2 linked regions of the Oryzias latipes genome follow. The protein of the gene in region 2 interacts with the protein of the main gene of each other region in a pairwise test. Links are inferred from orthologs where the notes say so. Each region holds a gene or a part of one and is shown on either strand. Other genes may lie near its edges.

What was found.
Region 1: the proteins of yae1d1 (region 2) and oraov1 interact in binary tests that used the Homo sapiens proteins (3 or more experiments, as listed by UniProt). The link is inferred for Oryzias latipes from reciprocal best matches to the Homo sapiens genes YAE1 and LTO1.

Annotation. Positions count from the first base shown.
Region 1 is NC_019861.2:4,834,410-4,840,575, reverse strand, and holds the start of oraov1 (oral cancer-overexpressed protein 1), read right to left. Parts: upstream 4,073-6,166; 5' UTR 3,992-4,072; coding exon 3,864-3,991; intron 3,289-3,863; coding exon 3,183-3,288; intron 3,098-3,182; coding exon 3,027-3,097; intron 1,280-3,026; coding exon 1,159-1,279; intron 655-1,158; coding exon 583-654; 3' UTR 1-582. UniProt on the Homo sapiens protein: The complex LTO1:YAE1 functions as a target specific adapter that probably recruits apo-ABCE1 to the cytosolic iron-sulfur protein assembly (CIA) complex machinery. May be required for biogenesis of the large ribosomal subunit and initiation of translation.
Region 2 is NC_019878.2:20,808,116-20,814,034, forward strand, and holds yae1d1 (yae1 domain-containing protein 1), read left to right. Parts: upstream 1-2,003; 5' UTR 2,004-2,143; coding exon 2,144-2,260; intron 2,261-2,348; coding exon 2,349-2,470; intron 2,471-3,598; coding exon 3,599-4,043; 3' UTR 4,044-4,323; downstream 4,324-5,919. UniProt on the Homo sapiens protein: The complex LTO1:YAE1 functions as a target specific adapter that probably recruits apo-ABCE1 to the cytosolic iron-sulfur protein assembly (CIA) complex machinery. May be required for biogenesis of the large ribosomal subunit and initiation of translation.

The DNA.
Region 1 (6,166 bases), on a different chromosome or scaffold from region 2:
AAGGTTCTATTCCCAGATAACTTCTTACTGTTCGTATGACTTAGGATGATCCCAAACATCTGCAAACACAGGGTTAAGATTTTAAAAATTCATGGAAATATGAAATAGCATTTAACTGTTGATTTCAACAGAAAGCAAAATCCCATCATTTAATGAAACTTCTGTTAAAAGTCATCAGACTTTAACGTCATAAGACTTCCCCCTTCAGACAGCGGGAGTGGGTTCAAGTCTGCAGATTCTTCATCCCACAACTCTTCCTGCTGAAGTGCCTCTGTACTTTTCCCTTGTGAGCCTGTAATCCTTTTCATTTATTAGGATCCCATTTACAGACTGTCATCACTGCATCACATGACAACTCAACCAACCTGATCAAACCAACTCCACTCTCTAGAATAAATAACATGTTCCAGTCTGTGATGAGCAGACCAGTCTTCTTTTAAGGTTAGCGCCCTGCACAGAAGTAGAGGCCAACTCTCCTGGCACGGTGCTCCAACCGGTGCGGGCCAACCCCGAGCCGGCGGGCTTGAGAGCCCTTAGATGCAGCAACAGGGGGCTGCAGGGCTCTGCATGGCAGCTGTGAACTCAGAACGAAGTCCCCTCGGCCACCTTGATGTAGTCCCTGAAGTCCGTGGGAATGTTCAGCATGGAGCAGACCTGCAGCAGCGTACAGACGTCAGTCAGCAAAAACTTTATTTACACTTCATACATGAAACTCATCCATCTGAGAGCCTTTAACAGCTGCGACTGAGTGACACGACAACGGCCCAAAGGTGAACGCTGTGTGACGCACATGCTGAGATCTGTTCACAACATAAGAGCAGTACCTCGTACTTTCATACATTAAGATGTTTTTAAATGTTTTACATGAAAGCAAATGCAGCATACAGGAAAATTAAACTAAAACACTGTTGTGTTCATGTTTGTTTGATACTTTTTAAATGTTTACAATCCATTTAAAATCTTTCTGCATTGAACTTCTAGTAAAAACATTGTGATGTTGCATCTGAAGCTAAACTTGGTTTATTCATTTATTAAGAATTTTTTCAGAAAAAAAAATCATTTTTTAACAAATCCGTGCAGTGCGTACAAGAGGAGTGGAAACGTAGATGGAAGGAATTTTCAAGGCAACCATTAAAGACTCAGGATGAAATGGGATACCTGTCTGAACTTTGCTCGAAGTTTCTCCGTCTCATCTTGCAGTTTTTCAGACTGTGGATCATCCAGGTTACAGTTCTGGATCAAAGCCAGCACGGCGTCCAAGGCCTTCACGCGCTTTCTGCTGACACAACACATTGAGCTGGAACGGGCCTCAACTCAAACTCCACACAATCCTTCAATGCTGGGAAATGTCCGGGATGCTGCCTGACGCAGAGCGGCGACCACAGCACCAATGTTCAGAATCCAGGGATTCCCGACCTACATGGAAAACTGCACATGTTCCAACCAACAGTTTTTGTTGTCCGTTTAATTCCTTAGAAGGTTGGTGTGTATTTTTACCAAAGGTTTCAAATCTGCAAGTTTAGCAGAGTCCTACAAAACCACAGAGACTGAAGGTGGATAACTTGTTCTGGATCCAGATCCAGAACCAGCAGAACTAAAATTGCGTAGTAGCCGTAAATGCCATCAGACCACTCTCGGCCTCAGCATTTCCTTACAAAAAGGTTTATGAAGTCATTGCATCTACACTGAGCCAGAACACAAGAGATCCTTCCATCTTCCTCCGCTCATCCGGGACGGGTGGCCCTTCTCCACCTCCCTGTAGCCTCACCCTTTGTCCTCTAGAATGCAACAAGACAGCAGAAGAAGCTCATGTGGAAATAAGAACTACAGTCAGAATAACCCCAAAAACAAGTGCTCTCCCACTCAATTAATGAAGAGGTTTCCTGCGCCCCCTTGTGGACAGCAATGGATTGGTCACAGATAAAAGGTTCTAGTGGAGAAAATAAAACCCGTTTGGACAAACAGAATATCACTTCAAACAGCTAGAACAAGAACCATAAGAGTTACGAAAGAGGAAATCCTTATCTGAGTTTGCTGAACCCAGAAACTCACTGCAAGTTCAGAAAAAACTCACCAAGTACAAGGGACTAAAAAACAAATAATTCTTTTATTCACACAACCCTTCCGGTGGGCGTGTTTTGTAGTAAAATCCACCTTTTTCTACTTAACAGAAGACTGGAGGCAAAAACAAAGCCTGACTATGGCGATCCTCTCTCCACTAGAATGAGCAGCTTCTTCACCATTTGCTTCGACTCTTCACCTGGACCCAACAGGAATCAGAACAGCACCAACCAACCGCATGCAGACTCACGTTACGGAAAATGTACGAGCGCGACATGAAAAAACAAACAAACCAAAGAACTCCCTGATTATCAACAGTCTGTGTGCTGCAGGAAACACTGTTCACTCGGGGGGAGGACGAGGAAAACACAATATCCGTCATGGACACGAGGGTCCAACGCAAAGAGGACGGCAGCACAACGACAACAGCACTTTGAAAACCCACACACACATACCAGCACCTGCAATGACACAACACCCCCTCTACTGTAGGGAGCAGGAGCGGGACACTCTACAGGCGTTCACAGGGTGTGTAACGCACAGAACCTAATGGGTCATTTTCATGCCCCATCATGCACCCTCATCCCTTTTATGGCCTGGCCTCCTGGTGAATGGCACAGAAGGCTGTCTTGCCTGTGGATGTGTAGCTTCTGACTCAGATGGAGGCTTCTTTAAAGGCTTGCAGCTGTTTTGAGTTGATTAAGGTGTGATTTCATGACTTTCCTACTTTAAATTCTTTAAAAAAAAATGATTCTTAGTTTTGAGGCTCTGTAGATATTTTAGAATAAAGGGTTGGTTTTAATTTACTTTTTTTGTCTGTTTGGTTTAACTGTAAAGCTATGAGTTGTTCAAAGCGTGAAAAGAGCCTTTTGATGAATAACGCTTGATTTGGATTCACATGAACGCTCAACACGACTGTGACTCATAAACGTCTTGTAGTTCCTGAAACACCCCGAGCAACGTACCTTGACTTGTCATCTGTGCTTTGCTGGAGGAGACACTTCCATGTGACGGCAAAACCGTAATAGAAGGAGATCTGTGGCATGAGACGATCCAATCAGGACGTGGTGCAGCTGAGTAAGGCTGGACAGACGGTCACGGGGACCGAAAACTGGACTCACCTCAGAGGACAGCTTGGCTCCATGGGAGGCTCCGTGTCGGCGGCCGTCCTGCAGACCACGGCGAGTCCCCTTCTCAAAACCCTCCTGGTAACCTTCACCTCGAAACCTGGAGAACAGTCAGCAGAAAACCCTACATTACTCCCATGACATCCTGGGATTTGAACCACAGCTTTCCAAAAAAATAAATGAACCACAAAAGAAAAACAATAATAAATGCTGTTCTTTTATTGACTGGAGTTTTCTGCAGGAAATTTAAAATAAAAGGAGGAGAGGAGGGACAGAAAGCAAATTAAAAATAACAGCGTTAATGAAGACGGTCATGATCCCCGTGCAGCGGAACCCACATCCGGTGTTAGACCGGAACCCGGTGAGGGGACTTCACCAGATGTTGTCCAGAAACGCACTGATGGGGAGCATCCTAATTCTTTTACTACCAAAATGTGGCGTTTACCCGGTAACCACACGGTTAACTTAAGCGCATGCGCAAAGCACACCCGATCGTGAAAAGTTTTACCGGTCGAAAAACAAACACATTCTGACGATTTTTAGAAATGCTTTTTGTTTCTATTCAACATCTTACGACAGAAAAAAAGGCAAAAACGGTTTAAATAGAAAACATCGTGAAAATAACATAAAAGAGAACAGAAAATGTAACAATAAAGGTATAAATGTTACACTGACGACGTTTCTAAGCCGTCAAGCGCGTGCCCCACCAATAAAACAACGTTTATACAGAAAACTTGCTTTTCATCGGCTAAAATGATGCTGTCAAACAGATCATCCGCTGGGTGGACGCCAGGCATCTCCATTCTGCAGCCAACTAAAGAGCTGACGGCAGGAGATCCTCGCAGCTGCTCTTCTTCTATGTCAACACAGTGTGTTCACTATGGACGTACAGAGCAGCACTGCCCCCTACCGGACAGCGGGACTCACTGCATGCAAACACACGAACAGTGTTTGGAGTCAATCTGTAATACAAGTTTGCCCGTTAGAGACCATTGTAAAATGTCTCAATTAAGATAGAATAGAACAGAATATACCCCACAAAGGAGAAATGATCTAGCTCTAATTAAAAGAACGCAGATAAATAATAACACTGAAACATGATACTAAAACAATAAAAACAATAATTATGTCCAGTGCCCAGTGGCGCCTCCAGAAAGTTTTCATGGGGGTGGCCGGTAGGGGGCCACATTAAATCTTGGGTGGCACACAAAAACCATGAGCTGCATTTTTAAAATTCATTCTACTAAACGTAGTAAAACAACCCTTAGAAAACCAACAGAAAGTTAAATGCCTACTGATTTTTTTCTAGAACATTGACTTATAGTTGATACTACTATAGATTCTAGTAGATGTCATTAGGCCAGTGTTTTTCAACCTTTTTTGAGCCACGGCAGACTTTAACCTTGACAAAAATCCTGCGGCACACCAGCAAAAAAAATTTTTCAATTTAAAAAAAAAAAGGAGAAACTCATAGTCTATATTGATCTAAAGTCCTTCTGCAATCTCACATGCATTTTGTGACAATTGTGGCAGAAAAATCTGATGAAATAAAAGTTAAGTTAAAAGATTCAAAAACTGTTTGATGTGTGTTCGTTGTTGTTACAAGACGTTTAGAGGAGAGACTCACTTTGCGCTGAGACGCTGTCACTTTAACCCAATGCATCATGGGAGATGTAAACAGCCGCCAAGCGCAGAAAGACTAGCGTCTCTGAGCTTCCTTCTTTTCTTCACTTGTTCCACGGTCTGATACCAGATTCAGTGGAAAGATACACCGCTAAAGACAAGCTTTAGCTGGTATTTTTGTTGGAACCGAGCGACTTTATGAGCAGAATCAGAACAAGGAATTGAAGACTTTAACGACTTCTGATTGGTCAGACTGATGACATGTGATTAAGCCTCCAAGAATGATTGGTGGAGACAGTTAAAGGGGCGGGACTTTACAGAAAACAGTTAATACTGCAGATAAGAAGTATTTTACGATCTTTCATATTCCTAACTACTCAGTGTTTTATCAGGGCCTGATTGGATGAACACAGAGCTGATATCCTGGAGATGGAAAATGTTTTTAGATCAGTTACCGTAATGACAGTAATTTCCCACGGCACACTGGTGCGCTGCGGCACACTGGTTGAAAAACACTGCATTAATTCTAACTTCACCAGTTGGTCCAGGAACAGGTGGAAGACTTTTTGCTGAGTTCTGCCTTGTTTCTCTGACCAATCATGCTGACTGACCCTCCTCATCAGATGCCGTCTCATCTTTGTCTTCCTCATTCTCTTCTGTCATTCATGCTGCTCTGTCTCATCTTCCTCCTCCTCACTACTCCTCTGTTACTCCCCAACCATCTCTTCCACTCCTTCTGCTATAATTTTCTTCTTAAAATAAGAATATATGTTGAATTTCTCTTCATTCTCTGAAAATTGACTTACACAAGCATCAACTAATGACTGTAGGTAACTATGTGGAAACAGGACAAAAACACATCAAAATGTTGTGGTAACACAACAACCAGTGCTTAAATAGTGCCATAAAAATGAGAAGCGCGTGTGACAGGGACATCCTTTTTTACATATTAATAAAAAGTAATGGCACATCCACCACCGCTGATGATGTGTATTTGCACCAAGTATTTGCAAACACAACAGATCAGGTGATCTAAAGTACAGTAATGAAATTGTTAAAAGACACCACAGAGAATATTTAACAGGCATGAAAAGAAATGTAGTGTTTTGGGATGTGTGATTGTGTGCGTGCGTGCGCATGTGTGTATGCGTGCGTGCGTGCATGCGTGCTGAAACTGGTGCTCGCGCGATGCAGGAAGAGAGGGGGGAGAGCGCGTGTGAGGGTGTGGAGCGCATACACACGCGGTCAGTCGCCGTTTTGGACTTAAGGAAAAAGCAATAAAGTTCATCTTTAGTAACTGATATTGGTTCTTTTGTCTAACCGGCCCGGAGGCTCTGGGGGTTCGAACCCGGAAG
Region 2 (5,919 bases):
GTCTTTTTTAATTTAATTTTTGTCGCCACTTCGGGGCCCTGCTGGTGACGGGGGCCCTACGCGGCTGCGTAATTCGCGTATAGGGAGGGCCGGCCATGCTTGCTCTGCCTCAAGATATGACGTCATGACACATTGACAGCTTCACACCAAAGTTACACCAACTTAATTGAATTAAGTTGATTGAAAGTAAAATAACTATGTCCGACAACTACGGGGTTATTTTTAAGTTGATTGAACTAAAAAAAAATATTTTCACCAAACTAGATAATTAAGTTAGATCAATGTAAAAAAGTTTAACTTTCCAACTACAGCCCAAATACTCTTTTCAGAGTGTGATGTGTTGTGTTACCGCAAAATTTTGATGTGTTTTTGTCCTATTTCCACAGAGTTGCCTATAGTCATTAGCTCAGGCTTGTGTATGTCAATTTTCAGAGAACGAAGAGAAAGTCAACGTATATTCTTATTTTAAGAAGAAAAGTACAGAGCATGATCCACAGCCAATATTAATGACTGAAGAGGAGGAAGACAAAGATGAGACGGCATCAGACGAGGACAAGTCAGCATCATTGGTCAGAGAAACAAGGTAGAACTCAGCAAAAAGGGCTTGACCTGTTCCTGGACCAACAGGTGATGTTAGAAATATGTTGCCCTAATAATAAAACTGTTTCATGTGTAATTAATCTCAATAGAAATGTCAATAGGTATTTTTATTTTTATTTCAGAACAACTGGTTTCACTTTTTGTTCATTATAGATATGTAACAGTCAAGAGCCGAACACACCAAGCAGACACACCTAAGCATTAAATATAAACACAATTAATCAAATTATCAGTTGTAGGATCTACTAATCTGCCACAGACTGGCGAACTGTCCAGGGTGTCCCCAGCCTTCGCCCACAAGTGGCCGGGATAGGGTCCGGCAGCCCGTGACCCAGAAAGGAACAAAATGGCAGAAGATGAATGTGTGTCTACTAATGATATCTACTAGTATCTACTGCATAGTGGTATCTACTATAAGTTAATGTTGTATAAAATAACAGTAGTAGTATCAGTGGTGATTTAACATATGTTAGTTTTCTAAAGGTTGTTTTACTACGTTTAGTAGAATGAATTTTAAAAATATTGCTCATTTTTTTGTGTGCCACCCTAAGATTAAAGTAAGATTAAAGTTGTCCCCTACCGGCCATCCCCATGAAAATTTTCTGGAGGCGTCACTGATTGCACCAAGACAGGACTAATCTAACTTAAACAGGCCTTTGAACAGACCTGCTATTCACCAAAAGAGGACAAACTACATAGTTACAACAGTGCATATTTTATTGGGTATACATAAGTATAAGCATACATACAGCAAATATACTATAGTCTATGTACATGTGCTAAATACTTTTTCAGACTTAATTGGGACATTTTAAGTTTACAATTTATAGATGATGTATAAAAATTAAACTTCAAGTATACGGCCTTAATTGCAGCATAGACTAATTAATACTACAATTAGTAGTTTTAGCTAAGTGTGGAGTTATGTGTGCAACATTTAAACAAATTAATCCAGGCTTGTCTACAGAGATTATATTATTAATAAAAATTAACAAAAAATATTGAACAAAAATTGTTCAAAATGTAATTAAATCTCTTCTCCCAATAAAAAATGACAATATTTTATCTATAATAATTAACATGTGTAGAGCACATATGCAGTCTGAATTTAAACCATCTTTTTCCTTTTTTTTCTGTTGTCATCAATGTTTTTTGTCATTCTTTGGAATATGCAAGAAAACGACAAATCAAATAAGCAAATAAACATTAAGTAGAAATTCAAATTAAATTAGATTAAACGTCAATATGAACACCAGCATTGTTGTAAAATACATTTTTTTCTTAAATTACATGTTTAAATAAAAATAATATTTTTACAAACTTTGATTGAATATAATATAACATTTCAATAAGAATATTTTCTTTTTAATGTTCCTCTTAATATTTAACATTTTTGAGGCTACGTCGCAGGTTGATGATGTCACCGCGTTAGCTAGCAGCAGGCGCAGAGGCGGCTAAAATGTCTGTAAGCGTTGCTCGTTTTCAGTCCAGTTCCACTCAAAAGTAAACGTTTGTCGCAGAAACCTGCCGTCCGTTTTCGCTCATGATGTCTTGGGTGAAATCCGCGTCGCTTAATAGTGAAGATGTGTTCGACGAAAACGCAGACGAGCTTCATTTACAGAGCAAAGAGTGGACCTCCAACATGAAGAAACGCGTCATGGTAAAAAAAAAAAAAAAAAAGTTAGCATATTATTGGCGTTTATTTATTTATTTATTATTACTTTATTGACTTCTTTTCTTCCGAACAGGACGGATATGTGGATGGAGTTGATGCCGGGGAGGAAGCCTCTCTTCAGGTCGGGTTTAACTTGGGGTTCAAGGAAGGAGCAGCCCAGACTGTAGCTGTGGGTCGACTGCGAGGAATTCTGGGGTAAAATTCACCTGACATGTCACTGAAAGCTATAGATTATGCTCAATTCCCACTCAAGTAAGAGTAGCCTTGCTCCCAAGTACTAACAGAGTAGAAGTAACAAGTAGTAATTCCAGTTTCCACTTAAGTAAATTTGAAAATTAGGTTAAAAACAGCAACTCAAGTACTGAGTAAAAGTAGCTGATTTATAGCGTAAATGATGCAGTCTGACCAAAGAAAAACTATAAATTCTGCTCTTTTCACTTATATTTTGAAATTTCAAAACAGTTTTTCCTTCATTTTATTTGAAACACTGATTTAAAATAGGAAATATGGATCCATATTGTGCTCTGTTTGTCCTAAACCTAATAGACATTCTGCTATAGATTAAAAAAAAGCTGGTTTGCCCTATTTTCTATTTAATGTTTTTTAATCAAATCTGCTTTACAAACGTTAAAAAACAGATTGTCTTTTCAGTTTCAGAAATTTTCAAATGTTATAGGTGTAGTGGGATTTAATCTTTACACTCTTCTCGGCTAATGAGTAATTTTTAATAATAAATAATTGGATTAAAAAAGGTCAACAAGTCTTAGTTCCAATAATAATCACAATTTAAAAAGTGTGGCTAGCACTGCTGTTTCTAAAGCGTTACTTGGGGAGATTTAACTGAAAAAAATAACGTTTTACTGCTAATCTTTATACATGTTTAAAATACACTAATTTCAAGATTTTACTACACTCAGTTTAGCTTTTTCTTGGTTAAAAAAAAGTGTAAAAAATGATGTGTTTGTGACATTTAGCATAGTTGTAATCTGTTTCCTGATTGTTTAGGGGTGAATTATGAATGATTTAATGATTTATAACTTGATATTTTAAAGTAAAGTCAATCATTTTATCCTGACTAGTTGTAAAGGAAGTAGGGAAGCTCTGACCTTCACTGTCCGATGAAGGTCATTTAAGTGTTTTGACGTCATCATCACTTCACTTTTGTTCCTCTTTGACTAAAGAATCCCTCACAGGGTTTTTGTGCAGAAACATCCTGACTTCCTTTGTTGTGATGGTTTATTGAATGCGCTTTTCTGTCCGTCAGACGGCCGCTCCAGTCTTTTCTATGTGCATCACGGCTCCCTCTGTGTCTCCCCGCCACAGGGCGGTCTGGTGCTGGTGCCAGATCCAGCATCCAGAAAGACCAGTTCCCACCCCTGTGACCGACCTCCTGCAGCGGGTTACAGAACACGAAACCCAGATCATGGAGGACATCAGGAAGGCTTTGGAAAATCCCCCTCCGAGTGTGAGTGACGTTTCGGAAAGCATGGACGCTCTCGATGTGGAGCAGGAGGATCCCTCCCTCTGCAGAGATGGAGGAAGTGGACCGTGTTGTAACAAGAGAGATGAAAATATGGATGTGGACAACCCTCACCAAAACCAAAAGATCCGCTCTGGGTCCACCAGCTGTTCCTCCAGCCCAGGTGAAGGTCTACACCTGCTCCTGCAGTGCTGTATGGATTTAGCATCAGAGCTGGGACTGCCGCAGGAGCTGATGGATCACATCCACGAGCTCGGGAACATCGACCGCATGAGCAGCATGTTTTAAATCTATTTACAGACTAAAAGTCTTGCTGGAACATTTTTCTTTCACAAACAGAAATGTGTATAATTTATGAAAGATTACTTTTTCATTTTATGGTTTGTAAATAATGTTTTTGATCATAAATATCTGTTTTGATCCAAAACAGAAGGTGTGTAAAAACAGCGGGGTATTTAAGTTCTAATGCTGAAATTGCGACACGAGGTTTGGTTGTAACCTATTGTTCTAAAAATGGGGAAAGTTTTTATTTTCACCTTTTCTTAAAAATAAATATGTAATTTACATATTTACATATTTATTTTTAGCTTTTTTTTTATAAATGCAAACCAACTGCTAATTTAAAGAGTAGGTTTTCTATCGAGAAAATTTGTAACTTATTTTAGAGCATATAACGGGAACTAAGTTATTGATAAAATATTTTTTATACAACTGTAGAGCTTCAAAAAGGTTTTAGCAAAGTTTTTAAGTATATATATATATATATATATATATATATATATATAAACGATTTTACAAATGAATGTATACAAAAAATATTCCCCACAATGTAAGGCTAAATTAGATATGTACAGATTAAATCAAGCATATACGAGTATAGTTTATAGTTTTGATTTTGAACGCGAAACATCGTATTGTGATTTACTTGGCAGCTCTTTTACGAGGCGCACCTGAACGTGGCACAAGTTCAGTCGCACATCAGTATGACGTCACCCTCGGACCGAACCGTGACCTGCTGCTCCTGCTAAGCTAAAGGGTCCGCGTACAGATGTTTCGCGGGAAGCTCGTTGAAATTTCGCGTTCTGTGCGCCGTTGTGCTGCGGGAGTCCACATTGAGGTGTTGCTGGAACGCACTACATGCGGCGGCATCGAGTTCCCCGCACGGCAGTCGCTCCGGAGAAACGCACGTTTGTGCGTTAAGTTTGCTGCAGCTAGCTGCCAGGCTAAGAGGCTAACCTGCTCCACAAAAGTGAAACAAGAGGAGCTTCGAGGGTTCAACTTTTGAGAGTTTGACTTTAAATTGAATAAAGGTACGTTCATTTTTTAACAATACAGTTTTATGTTTTTAAAATTTGCTGCCCTTAAAATGTAAAATACTTCCTTGCATTTCATTCATAACATAATATTAGGATTCACTTAAGTTAAGTTATTACTGCATTTTTTTTATCTACTTGCCCTCTTTTTGTAAAATAAAACCAATATGTTGAGATTAAAGCGGACAGTTAACATTGATTTTACTTAAACGTTTTAATTTGAAGTTAAACATTTAAATAGGATTAGGTAACTAGGTAACTCCTGTTTCCTTGATTATTCGAATCTCCTAAAGTCTCACTGCATAAAACTATTAAAGCTGTTTTCAAACATAACACATTTAACATTAGTCCATCTCAAGTCATTTATTTTGAACACAATTGAAATTTATTGTCTCCTCTATAGTCATATGATGAATCTGTCCAACAGTTCAGCCCCAAATCCAGTTTTTTGGTGCTTTTTTCTTTTTTTCAATTGTCAATAGTTTGGTCCAAAGTGAGATTTATACTCAGCAGAAGTTGAATGAATGTGATTGATCTCTGTGTCCACTTAAGGCTCTCTAGCCACGCGTGTTTTGAATGTGTGGATATTTAAAGTGTGGATGCCATGCTTTGAACAACTTTGTCAAATAAGGCCAGTACACTTCAGTTTCATGGATCTGTGCTGCACATTTTTTTGTTTGTTAGTAGTTGAAGTCGTTTTTCCCAGCTTCAGATTCACAAATATGCTAGTGTGCGATGAATTTTGGGAGAGGTCAAAGGTCAAGGCCTCATAAACGTCAAAAATGGCTACAACGGGCGTTGACTTCATACCCAACCATCTTTTAAAATTTGCGAGAGGACGGGTTGATTAT